3 linked regions of the Mus musculus genome follow. The main gene of each other region encodes a partner of the protein of the gene in region 2 in a complex. Links are inferred from orthologs where the notes say so. Each region holds a gene or a part of one and is shown on either strand. Other genes may lie near its edges.

Region 1 (4,198 bases), on a different chromosome or scaffold from region 2:
GTGGACATTACAGGTAGGTGGCACTGAACGTTTCTGGGTAGGCTATTGTAGAGAATGACTTGAGCTGGTGAGAAATAGACATTAGATCAGGGCCTACCATTGGGTAGAATAGAGAGAACGCCAAGGCTTGGAGCACTAAGAGTAAGGTAAAATCAATACCATATTTAATATACTTCTACCATATTAATAGAAGGTAGTATGTGGCAGGGGGGCCCAGATTGGACTTCTCAGATGTATTGCTTTTTAATTGCAATATTTGAGTCAAATATTTACTTGGCTGAGCCTTTTGATCTATTTGCTCAGTGGGGAGAAGGCAGTGTGACTCAAGTGAGCGCTTGTCACAATAACTCTTTACAATATACAGAGGGTAAATTTCGGGATCTCTGGGGCAATGAAAACGAAATCTACTACTACTACTAATGTTGATAATAACCAGATACTGTTCTTGGAGAAAAAAATTATTTAAAAAAGAATAGCATTTGTTGAGTGTGCATTGGTTGCACGGGCATCTGGCAAACTTCAAGGTGAGTTCTCATTTTACACATTTACTTGGATCTTATTTTGTCCTGTAACCTTTAGTAGCCCGGGTGTTCACATAGGTGCTTCCCTGAGACTCCTGTGACTGCTATTATTATCACTGTCATTATTGTGTTATTGGGTCCTCCAGAAAGGGTCTGCCTCACTCCTGGAGTTGAACTTAAATTAGAAGAAGGCAGAGAGTTGCAGAAGTCACTGTGCTGCATGCTAAATTCAAATATCTATACTCGGAAAGATGTAATCTCATGCTCCTTGCCTCTGTTATCGTTGTTAAGTTTTCTGCCAATACATGATCCGTTTTCCAATTTGCCTCTCTTTTACACGCGCAGAAATTGTGAGCAATTTCAGCCAGGCCGTTCCTCAACTAATAGCCTAAGGTAAGGACAGACTCAGGTTAAAGTGACTTGAGGCATATCTAAGGGCAAGGAAGCTGAAAATTGCAAGAGGGAAGGAACTTAGGCGTGAAGGAGCAGGTGTCTGGCTCGGTGGCCCCACCCTTGGCCAGGTGGGGGAGCCAAGCAAAACTTTTGCAACTCCAGACCTCTGGGAGGCTACAAGCACCCCAGCCTCGCAAGCCTGTCTGCAACGTGGCCGCATTCATCCGGGTTGCCCTCATCTCCCCTACCCCACTCCCGCAAACTCTTCTGTTCTTTCTCCAGGCTCGGTTATGTTCCAAGTTTTTCGATCCCGATCCCGCCTTTCTGCTGCTCTCCGCAACCCCTGAGAGCCCCGAGCGTCTCCAACTCTGGCTATGTTAGCCAACCCCCTTTGCAGCCTGAAGCCTCAGCTCCCCTGACACCGCCCGGCAGCGGGGTGGAGGCAGGGCCAACCGGGGAACCGCCCCCAGCCGCCTCCCAGCCTAAGCGTTCGGGCGGGTTGCTGGGGTGCCTCCACCTCCTCTTCCTAAAGCGGCGAGGCGCAGCAAAGCGGCATCACTGGAGCCCAGGTCCCAGGCACCGCCACAGGTCAAGCCCTGCATTCAGGAAAGAGAGCAACACTGCAGTTAGCCAAAAGCCAGGCAGGCGAGCGGCAGAGAGGTAGGTAAACTGAGTCCGGGAGAGCAGCGGCGCGAACCGCTCACCTCCCCGCAGGGGGGGGGGGGGCGGAATGGGGGGAGTGGAGGCTGCAAGCCACCAGCCCACTAACTCCACTTCTCTGCGTCCTTCCAGGCCTCGATCGAGAAGCCTGGTAGAGCTGCAGAGATACCTCCGTAGGAGGAGCCAGTCTCTGCCGGAGGCGCCACCGCCACCACCGCAGAAGCAGCGCGAAGTAGCAGTCGCCACCATGGCCCACTCACCGGTGGCTGTTCAAGTGCCTGGGATGCAGGTGAGGAAGCCCAGGCCTCCCGTGCCGCCCACGTGACTGCTCCGAAGCCCCGCTTTGGGCACCAGGCACCAGGGACCAGGGCAGCCACGGGGCAAACCTGAAGGCAGGGCCGGATCTCTCACCAGGTGACCCCGAAGTAAAGCTCGAGGTGTTTCCTGGCGTCCGGGCTAGAAGGTGTTTTGCACTGGAGAGATTGAGGCGACTGGGGAGAGACTCAGTTGGTGTTGGTGTGTGTGTGTGTGGGGGGGGGGGGAGTACACGTATAAAAATAGGCCAGAACCTTAGGCACCTGTACTTGTTGGCTTGTTAATCGTGGCACAGTTGAGGATTCAGCGTGGGGGAGTCCCAGAACTTAACCTCGATGAGATAGAGGCGTCCTGGAATGTGTGGGCTAAAACACCCAAGAGGTGCCCCCACACGGTACACACACAGAGGTTGGGGCGGAGCGAGACCAGGAGTGGTGGAGGCATTGAATTTGGTTCTTCCTGTGTGCAAAGACAGAAGAGCAAGATGCCTTCTTTTCCCCTTTGGTGCCACTTAGAAGCAAACTTCTATCACGCTCCCCTACCTAGCTCAGTGGGTAGTGTTCCAAGGACTGCAGGATCCTGTTCTGAGGGCCTAGGTAATGACTCCACATACCTTTCTCCTTGTCTGTCTGCTAAGGTGGTTGGTACACGTACTTAAGCTTTTGTCCAGCGCAAAGGGGGAAAAAAGTGTGGGACCCAACATTTTACTCAAAATCCATACAGTTCTCCTCCCATTATACTATCGTTTCGTTAAAGAAAATTATGTCAACAAATGTTTTACACATCTTGTTGTTTTTTTAACCACTCTTAACTTTTTAAAGCATTTACATTTGGGGTATCCCCCATGGCAACCTAAATAACCCTTTATGAGTTATAAGTCAGAGGCTAAAAACACTGAGACTGGGTTCCTTATGATCTTCTAACTATGCTAAGTCAAACAAACAAATTATTTCAAGTTCTGAAATGTGGAGACCACTGCATAGCTTACGCTTCTACTAGGAGTCCAAACTTTGTGAATTGGAGTCTCTGTCTACTGCCGCATGTGCTGACTGGTCTCATTGTATTTATGATAAAAATAAAAAGGTGCTTTTAAAAATATCCTTTCTCCTCAAAGGGGTCATTTGTACAGGACATACATGTCTCCTGTATTTAAGGGCAGGTCTGGGTTGAGACTCAGGAAGGGGAGGGAAAGAAATGTAAAATAGAAAGAGTGGGGCTTTTTGTGGTATTAATCCATTTCAGTTTTTCCCAGTGCCCCAAACTTTTTTTTCCTCATGCATTCTCCATCTCTGGCTCTCTTTTCCCTAACTGCTCTGCCCCACACGCCATTCATTGAAGTCTGACTTTGCTTGTATCTGGACAAGTAGTAGTTTGCAATAGGAACTGGTTTTGCTCTGCCTGGTTTGGAACGACACGTGAACTTTCCCCCTTCGTGCACAGCTTTCTATTATGTGGAGACATAGAACTTTACATATGGCTACTGCTCAGAGGCTCCATGCTTCTCTCTCCATTGTGAGCAGGCGCCTGCCTGCATGCGGCCACACTGGTGCCTCCCCTTCATCAACTTTGTGTGATTCTGGGCTACTCAGTGTGATCACCAGAAAAGGGTTCCTGGTCTTTATTTCATTTGGCTTGACTTTATTTGATTTATGTGGTTTCTGGTCTTTATTTAATTTGTTCTGACTTTATTGGATAGAGATGGTTTGCTAAGTGCTCACCGTTGAGCATTGTCACATTGCTCCTTGCTTTGTTTAATTATGGGAGCTAGCTATCTCTTGGATTTTTAGATCTTAATTAAGGTGGGTTGAAATGGGAATCACATATTTGAAATGATCAACTTTGCCTTGCATGGTGTGCCTTCCCCAAGTTATTAATTTGTCAGTCCTTAGCTGTACAGGATAGTCATCTCACATTCAGCAAGCAAAGATTATTGATTCTTGCTCCGCCACTTTCCATCTAAGTGAAGTAGCACGTTATCCAATTATTTTCATTTTTATTTCTAGATGTAGTTCTTAAGCACTTGCTGCAACATTTAAAGAAGACAGCTTTTCCATCTTTGAAATTATACAGGGACCTAAAACACATTCACAGCATGCAGCATGACCCTTTAGCCTAGAATAGTTTTGTTGTATTTCCCAAAAACTATAATGTAGAAATATATTCTGGGATCATAATGGTCTCCTATAGTTTTGTTAGAGTTAGAAGCAAGCAACTTTTAGGTTGTTTAAGTAGCAAGAAATCTTGAATTTGCCATGTGTTCTTTAAATTAATGTGCAATATTTCCCCAAATCAGGGTGGAGTGATTGACT
Region 2 (4,709 bases):
AACATTGTAAAGAGAAACACATAAGGTGTTTACTGATCCCAAATCTGTCTTTGGGGAAACTTACTTTAGATTTAAATAGAATTAGAATTGAGATTGAGGGCGGGAGATAGGAAAATTCCAGCAGACCTGGGCAAGTGTGGTCTGGTTATCATCCTCTCAGTGTTGGTTCTATGAGATGGTAGAAGTCCTTTTTACTTAAGGGACAAGCTGGTTCTCAGGAGTTGATTCTTTCTCCTCCAGGGTGCACAGGCCATGATAGAAAGAGCTGTTCGTCATCCGGGGATGCTGTGTTCTGTGAGGCTTTGCCACTCCTGATGTCTAGAGGGTTGAGGCCAGTGACCAAGAGTCTTGTACCTGCTTCTTGGGGAGGGAGGTTTCTGGAGGAGGACACTGTAAAAAGTAACATTAAAACCATCTTGGTTACTCCTATGTGTTTGGCACTCAGACGTGACGGAGAATGAGGTGAGAGGCCACCATTTTTGGATGATTGCTCTTTGAGTCAATACAGATGTGAGCAGGTAATTCAGAGTAAACGAGACAGCTACAAAATGAAGGCAGAAAAGCAAGAGCCACTTCTAAGGGATTATTAAACACACCCTCATTTCCCCATGATTTCTCTGTTATATTTTCAATTTCAGTTTTATTTATTCATTTGTTTATCTCCCCCATGTGAATGTAAACTCCACGAAGACTAGAATCCTATTTTTGTTCATTATTATATCCTTAAAAGTATTTGTCAGTGGCTTGAGGACAGATACAACTTCATACTGTTATCCTTAGCCCCCAAGAGTCTCTCTCTCTCTCTCTCTCTCTCTCTCTCTCTCTCTCTCTCTCTCTCTCTCTCTCTCTTTCTCTGTCTCTCTCTCTCTCTGTCTCTCTTCACTTCAAGTTCAAGACAGGGTTTCTCTGTATAGTCCTGGCTGTCCCGGAACTCACTTTGTAAACCAGGCTGGCCTCGAACTCAGAAATCTGCCTGCCTCTGACTCCCAAGTGCTGGGATTAAAGGCGTGCGCCACCAACGCCCGGCTTTTTCCCCTGTTTTGATAAGTGAGATTATTAACGTGGCTCCAGAGGTGTCTTGGATGGAGTTATAATCTGATAAGTAAAACCAGGAGTCCCCAGGGTTGCACAAGGTGTTTCTTACAGAGTCCTACTGACTTGGAGGTTTTTCAGCTGGAAGGTTAGAGAAAAGCCACAACCAGTTGTTAATTGTACAGAAATTCTTTGCTAGGAAAACGTGTCAACTAGACCCATGAGTCAGGAATTGCTTTCTTTAATGATGTCTCCCTAATTTCCCCTTTCATCCTGCCTCACCTTGAACAGGGAGGGCTCTAAAGACAGGCAAAGCGATGATAGACAACGAATTAAAGTGTTAAGTCTCATGGATAAAAAAGACATCTAAAGGGATTCCTGCGAGCCCAGCCGCACGTCTCCGGCTTAGTTCCACGGGAAGGAGGGAGGGGAAACTAAATGACAAAGCCAGGAAAGACCTTGGGAGGTGATTGGCAGTTGCGGCTTTCGACACACGCAGCCACACTGAATATGGCGATTGGGGAAATTTCCTGGAGGAAATCACGCGAGAGTTGCCTGACGGGAGGCCGTCCGCGAATTGAGCCGGGGGTGTGGAGCAGCCAAGATGGAGCCGGCAGCCGCCGGTCCCGGCCCTCTGATTGTGAACAACAAGCAGCCGCAGCCGCCACCTCCTCCGCCGCCTGCCACCGCGCAGCCTCCTCCTGGGGCGCCGAGGGCCGCCGGAGGCCTCCTGCCGGGGGGCAAAGCCCGCGAGTTCAACCGCAACCAGCGCAAAGACTCGGAGGTCAGAGCTGCAGGGGGGCGAGGCTGGCACCGGGCGGGTGACAGAGGGGGTCCCGGGAGACCGGGGCGGCATCCGGGCCCAGCCGGGCTTCCCGACGGCTTGACAGGGACCCTGGGAGCTGTCACTTTACCGGGAACCGTGCAGTTAGCTAGGCTGGCAGCCGCCACAGCCCCGGGGAGGAAAGCCCGGAGCCCTGTCACCAACTCTGCTGCGGCCGGGGGAAGAAGGTCCCCGAGCCGGGGATGGCCGGTCGCCCCCGGGGGCGTGGCCTGAGGCACAGCCCTCCTGGGGTGCAAAATCGGTGGTCTGCTGGCTGGTTAGCCCCTCATCCTTTCCGGCCTCTGATCTTAGCAGGGTGGTGGGCCACGCCAGTTGGCAGCGAAGGGACCCAGGAGAGTTTAGCGGGCGCTTAGAACAGGGCTTCTCTCTCTAGTGCTGCTTGGCCGGCCCCAGGTTGTGTGAGTAGCAGAGAGAGCACATTGTGGCTTCCCTCCGAATTTTAGTCAGCGCTGGATCAAACCGCGGCCAGACATTGCCAAGTATTTTTGCATGCCCAGTGAGCCCAGTTGCTGAGCTGTGAAGGGATCAGAAGTACACAAAGGGCGCCGGATTCTCCTCCTTGCTAGTGAGCTGCGATTCCCTTTGCCCGCGCTGTCTGGAGCTATTCACCTCGCCCCAAGTTAAAATTCCTCCCACTGCTTCCGTTTGCAGAATTCATGAATGAACACACACCCGTCTCGTCGCAGCATTTCAGGGCTTCCTCATCAGCACATTCATTCCCAGAGCGCTTACTACGCAATCTCCTCCACCTGAGACAACTTCCAGTGTGATGAACAGCCAGGCACTTACCGAGAGGGAATTCCTCAAATTCAAATTTGATGCTTCAGCTAGTACCAGATACTAAAGATAGTGTCTTTAAGCCTAAGAAATCAGTTCCCTCCAAACATTTTGTTGTTGTCGCAGGCTCAAATTCTGATAACTTATGTCACAAAGGAACAAGCCCAGAGTTGAGAGGATGAGTTTAGAGTGGCTTTTTTGAAAAAGATGGACCTTTTAGGAGCCTTTTGTTGTGGAATGATGGGTGATCAGTGGCTACTTCTCAGTGATCTCTTAAGTACGAAGGAGTATGGAAGTTAAGTTTGTAAGACCTTTAATGACCAGACTTGTCCAGGTTTTCTGAAGAGAACCCTGAGAATTGAACTACACCTTCAAATTTCTCTTTTTAAATGTTTGAGTGGACTGGAGAGATGGTTCAGTGGTTAAGAGAACTTGCTGTTCTCTCAGAGGATCCCAGCACCCAAGTTGGGCCGCTCACAACTGCCTATTAGCACACTAGCTCCTAGGGATCCAGTACTGTCCTTTTGTCCTCCATGGGCACATGTATACACACACAGATAAACACATAATACATTTAAAATAAGTGCTTTAGGGATGGCGGGATAGCTCAGCAGGTAAAGTAGTTTTAAATTTTCCTGAAAAGCCACAAAATAGTCAGATAAATACCCTTTTGTGCATTTTATTTTATTTGTTGTTTGTTTGCTTCTTTGTTTTTTGTTTTGTTTTTGTTTTTGAGACAGGGTTTCTCTGTGTAGCTTTAGCTGTCCTAGAACTCTGCTCTGCAGATGGGGCTGGCCTCAAACTCAACAGAGATTCATCTGCCTCTTGAGTGCTAGGATTAAAGGTGTGCACCACCCCTTATTCGTGTTATTATGTGGTGCTGAGAATCAGATTCAGGGCCTTGTGCAAGGTAGGCAAACACTATACTGCTGAGGTATGTCCTCAGCCTCTATTACATGTTTTTATTTCTCTTCCTACCTTTAATTTCACTGGATTCAACATCTGGAAGGCCCATCACATCGATCTGTGTCCTTGTGTTGGAGGTGCTGATGCTGCACACCCTTCTGGTGACAGCTGAAGTCAGTAGTTTGGGGATCTGATCAGTGCCTAGAGCACAAGGAGGCTCAGTATGTGCCAGGTAAACTTTATTAGTCCTCAAAACTAGCCAAGGCAGTCGAGCATGCTTCCAGTCACAACACTCCGGAAGCTGAGCAAGGAGAATCAGAGTTCAAGGCCAGCCTGGGCTGCATAGTAAAACCTTGTCTCTATAAAAATACACTGGGGGGGGGGGGCTAAGAAATGGTAATGGATTTGGGGGTGAATAAGACCACAATATATTATATAATGGGAATGAAACTGTCAAAAAAAAAAAAAAGGTCTTAAGCTAAGTTTGAAGCAGAGTTTTGTCATTCCCATTGGGTAAATGAAACTCAACCTCAGTAATGTATACAAATGTTGATTTTAGTTGTGTTTTAATGGGACTGGGACTTGAACCCAGGACTCTACACATGGTAGGTAATCATTTTACCACTAAACTCTGTCTCTAGCCTAGAAGCTCAGTAGTGTATGGAAGTGTCCATTAGTGCCCATTAATAAGGAATAGAGTTATGGCTTGTGGGCATATTATGTCATGTCAGGGGTCATTATCAGTTAGAAGGTTTTCCCTGACCCCACTCTCCATCTCACTCACCCACCCAGCTGCATGCTGAGAATTAAGCCCAGGATCTAGCACCTACTAGGAAGGTGCTCTGTGCTGAACTGTACCCTCTGGTCTTGCAAGTACATTAGTCAGGGCTGGGCTTAGCCTTTTGATCTTGATGCTTCTCTCTTCCCAGTACAAGGCTTCCAAGATGGCGTGTTCTCAGGAATCACCTATCCCTAACAGATTCTCATTGCACTCTCTCCTGTGTGTGGGAGGCAGGCCAATCTGTTCCATTTCTGCTTTCTCTCTCAGTTCTCACTGAAAATTGAGATGGGGCAGGGTGGCTGAGGGTTTCAGTGCTCATTTTATCCTTAGCTGTATATAGTCCACAGCTCAGAAAGAAGTGAGACTCCC
Region 3 (4,156 bases), on a different chromosome or scaffold from region 2:
ACATAGAGAGTTTTAAGCCAGCCTAGGCTACAGAATGAGGTCCTGTCTTAAAAATCAAAAATAAAGGCCTACAGAGATTCCTCAATCATTAAGAATTCTTGTTGCTCTTCCAGAGGACCAGAATTTAGTTCTAGCACCCATGCCATTCAGCATATGACCCTCTGCAACTCCAGATCCAGGCCTTTTCAGATCTCAGTAGGTTCCTGTTCACATTTAACATACACATATATGTACATAAATAAGTCTTAATAGAGTTGGCCTTGCCTAATTTCAGACTTTTCTATAGGAGGGATAGGTAGGCTGAAGGCCATCCTACAGATGATCTTTTTCAGGGGCAATAAAAATATTTGCCCCTATTGTTGATGCCTTGGGGCGGGGGAGGGGAGGAAACCAAGGTGCTTCAGGATCCAGGGCAGGGCTGTTTGCTGGAAGTCTATTTTCTTCTGGGGAAAAACACAGCAAAGAAAACCTAATCAACATGTAGTAAAATTTGGCGGTTAAAGAATCTGATGCAAGGTCTTGCATGCAAGGTTTAAGGTTCCAGGATGGTGCCCAGGAAGAAAATCCACCAGAGAACAGAAACAACAAGCCTTTATGAGTTGGGGAGTAGGGACATTATGGTGGTTTGCACTGAGCCGTCATAGGAATGGACACAGTATGGAGCCAAATCTCCCTCCCGTGGAACACTAGGAGACTGCATAGAAGTGGACATTGCTGACTAGTCACTCATACTGAATTCACAGGATGAAAGGCATCTTCCAACCTTTGGAAATCCCCGCTGGACCACACAACTCTTCCCAGCGCCAGGTCATGTCCTGGGGACCTACGATTAAACCTTTTCAGATAGGGAAACTGAGGCAGGAGAGAAGCACTTGTCCAACAATGGGCGACTTTTCTAAGGGCGCGCGTGGGCGTACTCCTTGTGTGTGTGTGTTGCTAAGCGCAGACAAGAAGGTCACACTGCGGTTAAAGCTGGAGCACCAGGATATGAGGGTAATGTGGGTTCGCACTCCAGGCACACAGTATGGGTCTCAGAAGCTTGGCAAACAGAACTGGGAAAATGAGAGGAGGGCTGAAAAAAAAAGAGAAAAAAAAGCCTAGAAAACGTCAAGGCAACTGCGCACGCGCTGCACCCGTCACCGCGCGGCCTGACAGGAGGGGCAGCCCAGCTCGGGCATATCTCAAGGTTCGGATCCAATCTGTGGCGCATTTGTGCCTCTCCACTGACCGCCCACCGCAAGTTCTCCTGGGACTTGTAGTCTGTCGCCATCAGGGCCCCGGAGCACTTGCGTAACACCTCATCCTACCGCGCAGCCTGCTGGGACTTGTAGTCTCAATTTTGCGTGCCCGGGGTACGGGGCGGGCTGCGGGACTCCTAGTCCCACAGAGCTTCGCGCTCGCCACGACGCCCTGCTCAGAGCCGCTGCCTCCACCTCACGGGCTGGGAGGCCTGGGCGTTCCGGGAGACCGAATTGCGGTGTGAGCCGCCGTGGGGACTGCGAAGCGGGCCCGGAGTCCGAGATGGAGCCGCCCGGAGGTGGGCGCTGCCAGCGGGCCTCGCCTGAATGTTGGGGAGGCCGGGCACGCCCTGAGGGCGGGTCGGGGGCCCTGGGCGCGGGACCGGAGGTCGCGGGTGGAGGGACGCCACGGAACGGGTCCCCCTGGCCACTGTTGACCGAGCGGCCTGCGGTTTCTCGCAGGTGCTTGAGGCGAGCGGGCGGAGCGGCTGCGACGGACTGGTCACGTCAGCGGGGACATGGCTCACCTCCGGGGCTTCGCGCACCAGGTGAGTGTGGGCGTCGGCGTGCCCCGAGTCCGTGGTTCGCTGTGGAGCGGATTTGTCCACTTGAGGCGGGAGAGGGGCGGAGGCCGTCTGCCTCGGGGCGCGTCTTGGGGCCGTTGGAACTCTGGCCTGTGCCGAGCCAGCGCCTGCGGAAGACGTGAGCCCCAGGGAACGTCTGCGGGGCGAGCGCTTCTGCTCGGGAGCTGCTGGGGGCAGGTGCAGGAACCTGCCCTGGGCACAACCTGCTTGACCCAGGCTCGGAGCACCTTCCCAGAAGATGGACTCCACCTTCCTTGGCTAACGGGATGGAACCCCGACACGGGACCGCACAGGAGATGAGGGCTGCGTAGGGTCAGAGGGTTCGGTGGTTTGCTCTCTGGACCCCCTTTCTCGCCTTTATTTTATTTGTGGTGTTGTTATTTCAGAGCAATATGACAGACAGCTAGTGAAGTGGAATGAGCTGCCTTGGCGGCTGATTTTCCTCTGGCTTTAGCTGTGGGATTTGCGTTTTAAGGGCTTGGTTTAGATAGGCTTAGGCTTGACAGTTGCACAGTGAAGGAATCAGTTCCTGAGGACAGTGCAGCCGCTCACCCCACCCCACCCTGACCCCCCTTCTCCCTGCATCCTTGAGAACTGGTTGTGTAGACAGGAAGCATGTCCGTCCGCTGCTTGTGGGCAGGAATTGGAGGCAGGGCTCCTTGGAGGAAACCAAACCAGCCTGGAAGACTACTCACAGCTGTTGGGGAGGGCTTTTGGCCCAGCTGTCACAGATGGGATCCCGAGCTTGCTAACTGATGCTGAATTAAGCTAACACATTTTTAATACATTTTGACATTTCGCCTCTAATTATATAACATACTAAGAGAGAGAGAAAAAAAATCTGCCTCTAGTTTATTTTTAAGAGACTTAAGCTTAGCTTATGAAGGTCCCAGGATGACAAATTGGAGCTATGAATTGCGAAGGAGTACAGTAATGATGGCTAGGGGACCTTTCTCAAAGAGAAAACACCCTTTTTGTCTTTTTAGGGGCCTGTGTCCAGCCTAGACATACTTGGCTTCTGAAAGTGACACAAAACCTTTGTAGGGCTGCTTTCTCCCAAGATGGCTGCCATAGAGTCCTATGAAATTGCTCCTTTTGTGTGATAAGGCTTGTACTTTCCCCCTGTAGCCTGTGCTTCTGCCTTAGATTACCTTTTACCCGGCCTGTTCCTGCCCATCTCTGGAAGGACCAGATGGTTCTGGGCAAGCACTGTGTGACTGTGTGTGGTAGATGAGGGAGGATGTGTGCTGAGTTGTTCCTCTTGTTTTGGAGAGGTGATACACAGCAGGCATGTTGGCAGAAAGGCCAGAGGCTGTAAGTATAATATCCCTAGGATGGAATGGAGAGCGAATGGGTCTCAGTTGTTCAGAGTAAGTTAGATGGCTTGAGTGATGGTTCATAACACATTCTGTCCAGAAGAGAAATCTGAGCCACCCAGATCAGCATGCTAGCTGTCTGTGATTGGCTGGGTTTGGGACTAGGGCTGCTTCAAAGGTGTAAATACAGAGACCATGCCAGAAAGGCTCCTATCATACTGTTTCTTAGGCTGACTGGTTCACAGCTATAGGTACCCAAAAAACGTAGACTTTGAAGACTAGGGTTCCCACCTTCCTTGCACAAAGTCTAGAACTCTGGCTTTGGGATCTGTTATTTTCTTTTCCTCTGAGGCAGTGTGAGTGAATACCTGGCCTGAAGTATCCTTCTTCGGCTACTGTAGTGGACAAGTTCTGATTCTAGGTTCCCCCAGAAGAGAGCAATTAAGAATTCTCAGTATGGCTGAGCAGTGTGGGAGGATGTGGTGTCTGAGCCTGAGTAGTAGGAAAAGGGCTACTGAGAACTGGAAGGATAGTGGTCCTGGGTCATGTAGTTAGCCGATGGCTTGACTTCTCTCTAACAGGCTTTCTTAGGCTACAAGCACTGGACTGAACCAGTGATAAGACTGTATTGCCTTGAGTCCTCAACTAGACCTTCTGGAGATCTTTGAGATGGTTTTCAAGGTGTCTCAAAACTACACATGGTGGAGCTGTAGCATCTGAGGAGACAGTAGAGGCCAAGTGGTTAGAGAAAGAAGGGTTTGAAAAAGTGTTTTGGGGCCTGCTGGAGCAGAAACAGGCAGAAAAACAAAACAGAACAATAACAACAACAACAAAACAGGCAGGAAAAGGTCTGCTATGTGGCCCTTGCTCTGCACCTGGCTTTCAGGGCTGGCTTTGAGCAGGGGATCAAGTGGTCACTGCCCAGACATGAAGTGACAGAGGCTGAGGTCTTTTCACACTGATCACGTCTACCTTTATCGGTGGTCTCCACACTGATGAGTGTGGTTAGAGCACATGG

Evidence for each region.
Region 1: Strip1 (region 2) and Stk26 share a complex: the UniProt entries of both Homo sapiens proteins name them as parts of the core of STRIPAK complex. The link is inferred for Mus musculus from reciprocal best matches to the Homo sapiens genes STRIP1 and STK26.
Region 3: Strip1 (region 2) and Stk25 share a complex: the UniProt entries of both Homo sapiens proteins name them as parts of the core of STRIPAK complex. The link is inferred for Mus musculus from reciprocal best matches to the Homo sapiens genes STRIP1 and STK25.

The regions. Positions count from the first base shown.
Region 1 is NC_000086.7:50,839,973-50,844,170, forward strand, and holds the start of Stk26 (serine/threonine-protein kinase 26), read left to right. Parts: upstream 1-1,398; 5' UTR 1,399-1,574; intron 1,575-1,706; 5' UTR 1,707-1,821; coding exon 1,822-1,863; intron 1,864-4,198. UniProt on the Homo sapiens protein: Serine/threonine-protein kinase that acts as a mediator of cell growth. Modulates apoptosis. In association with STK24 negatively regulates Golgi reorientation in polarized cell migration upon RHO activation.
Region 2 is NC_000069.6:107,628,608-107,633,316, reverse strand, and holds the start of Strip1 (striatin-interacting protein 1), read left to right. Parts: upstream 1-1,606; 5' UTR 1,607-1,636; coding exon 1,637-1,816; intron 1,817-4,709. UniProt on the Homo sapiens protein: Plays a role in the regulation of cell morphology and cytoskeletal organization. Required in the cortical actin filament dynamics and cell shape. Part of the striatin-interacting phosphatase and kinase (STRIPAK) complexes.
Region 3 is NC_000067.6:93,632,928-93,637,083, reverse strand, and holds the start of Stk25 (serine/threonine-protein kinase 25), read left to right. Parts: upstream 1-1,356; 5' UTR 1,357-1,537; intron 1,538-1,700; 5' UTR 1,701-1,756; coding exon 1,757-1,786; intron 1,787-4,156. UniProt on the Homo sapiens protein: Oxidant stress-activated serine/threonine kinase that may play a role in the response to environmental stress.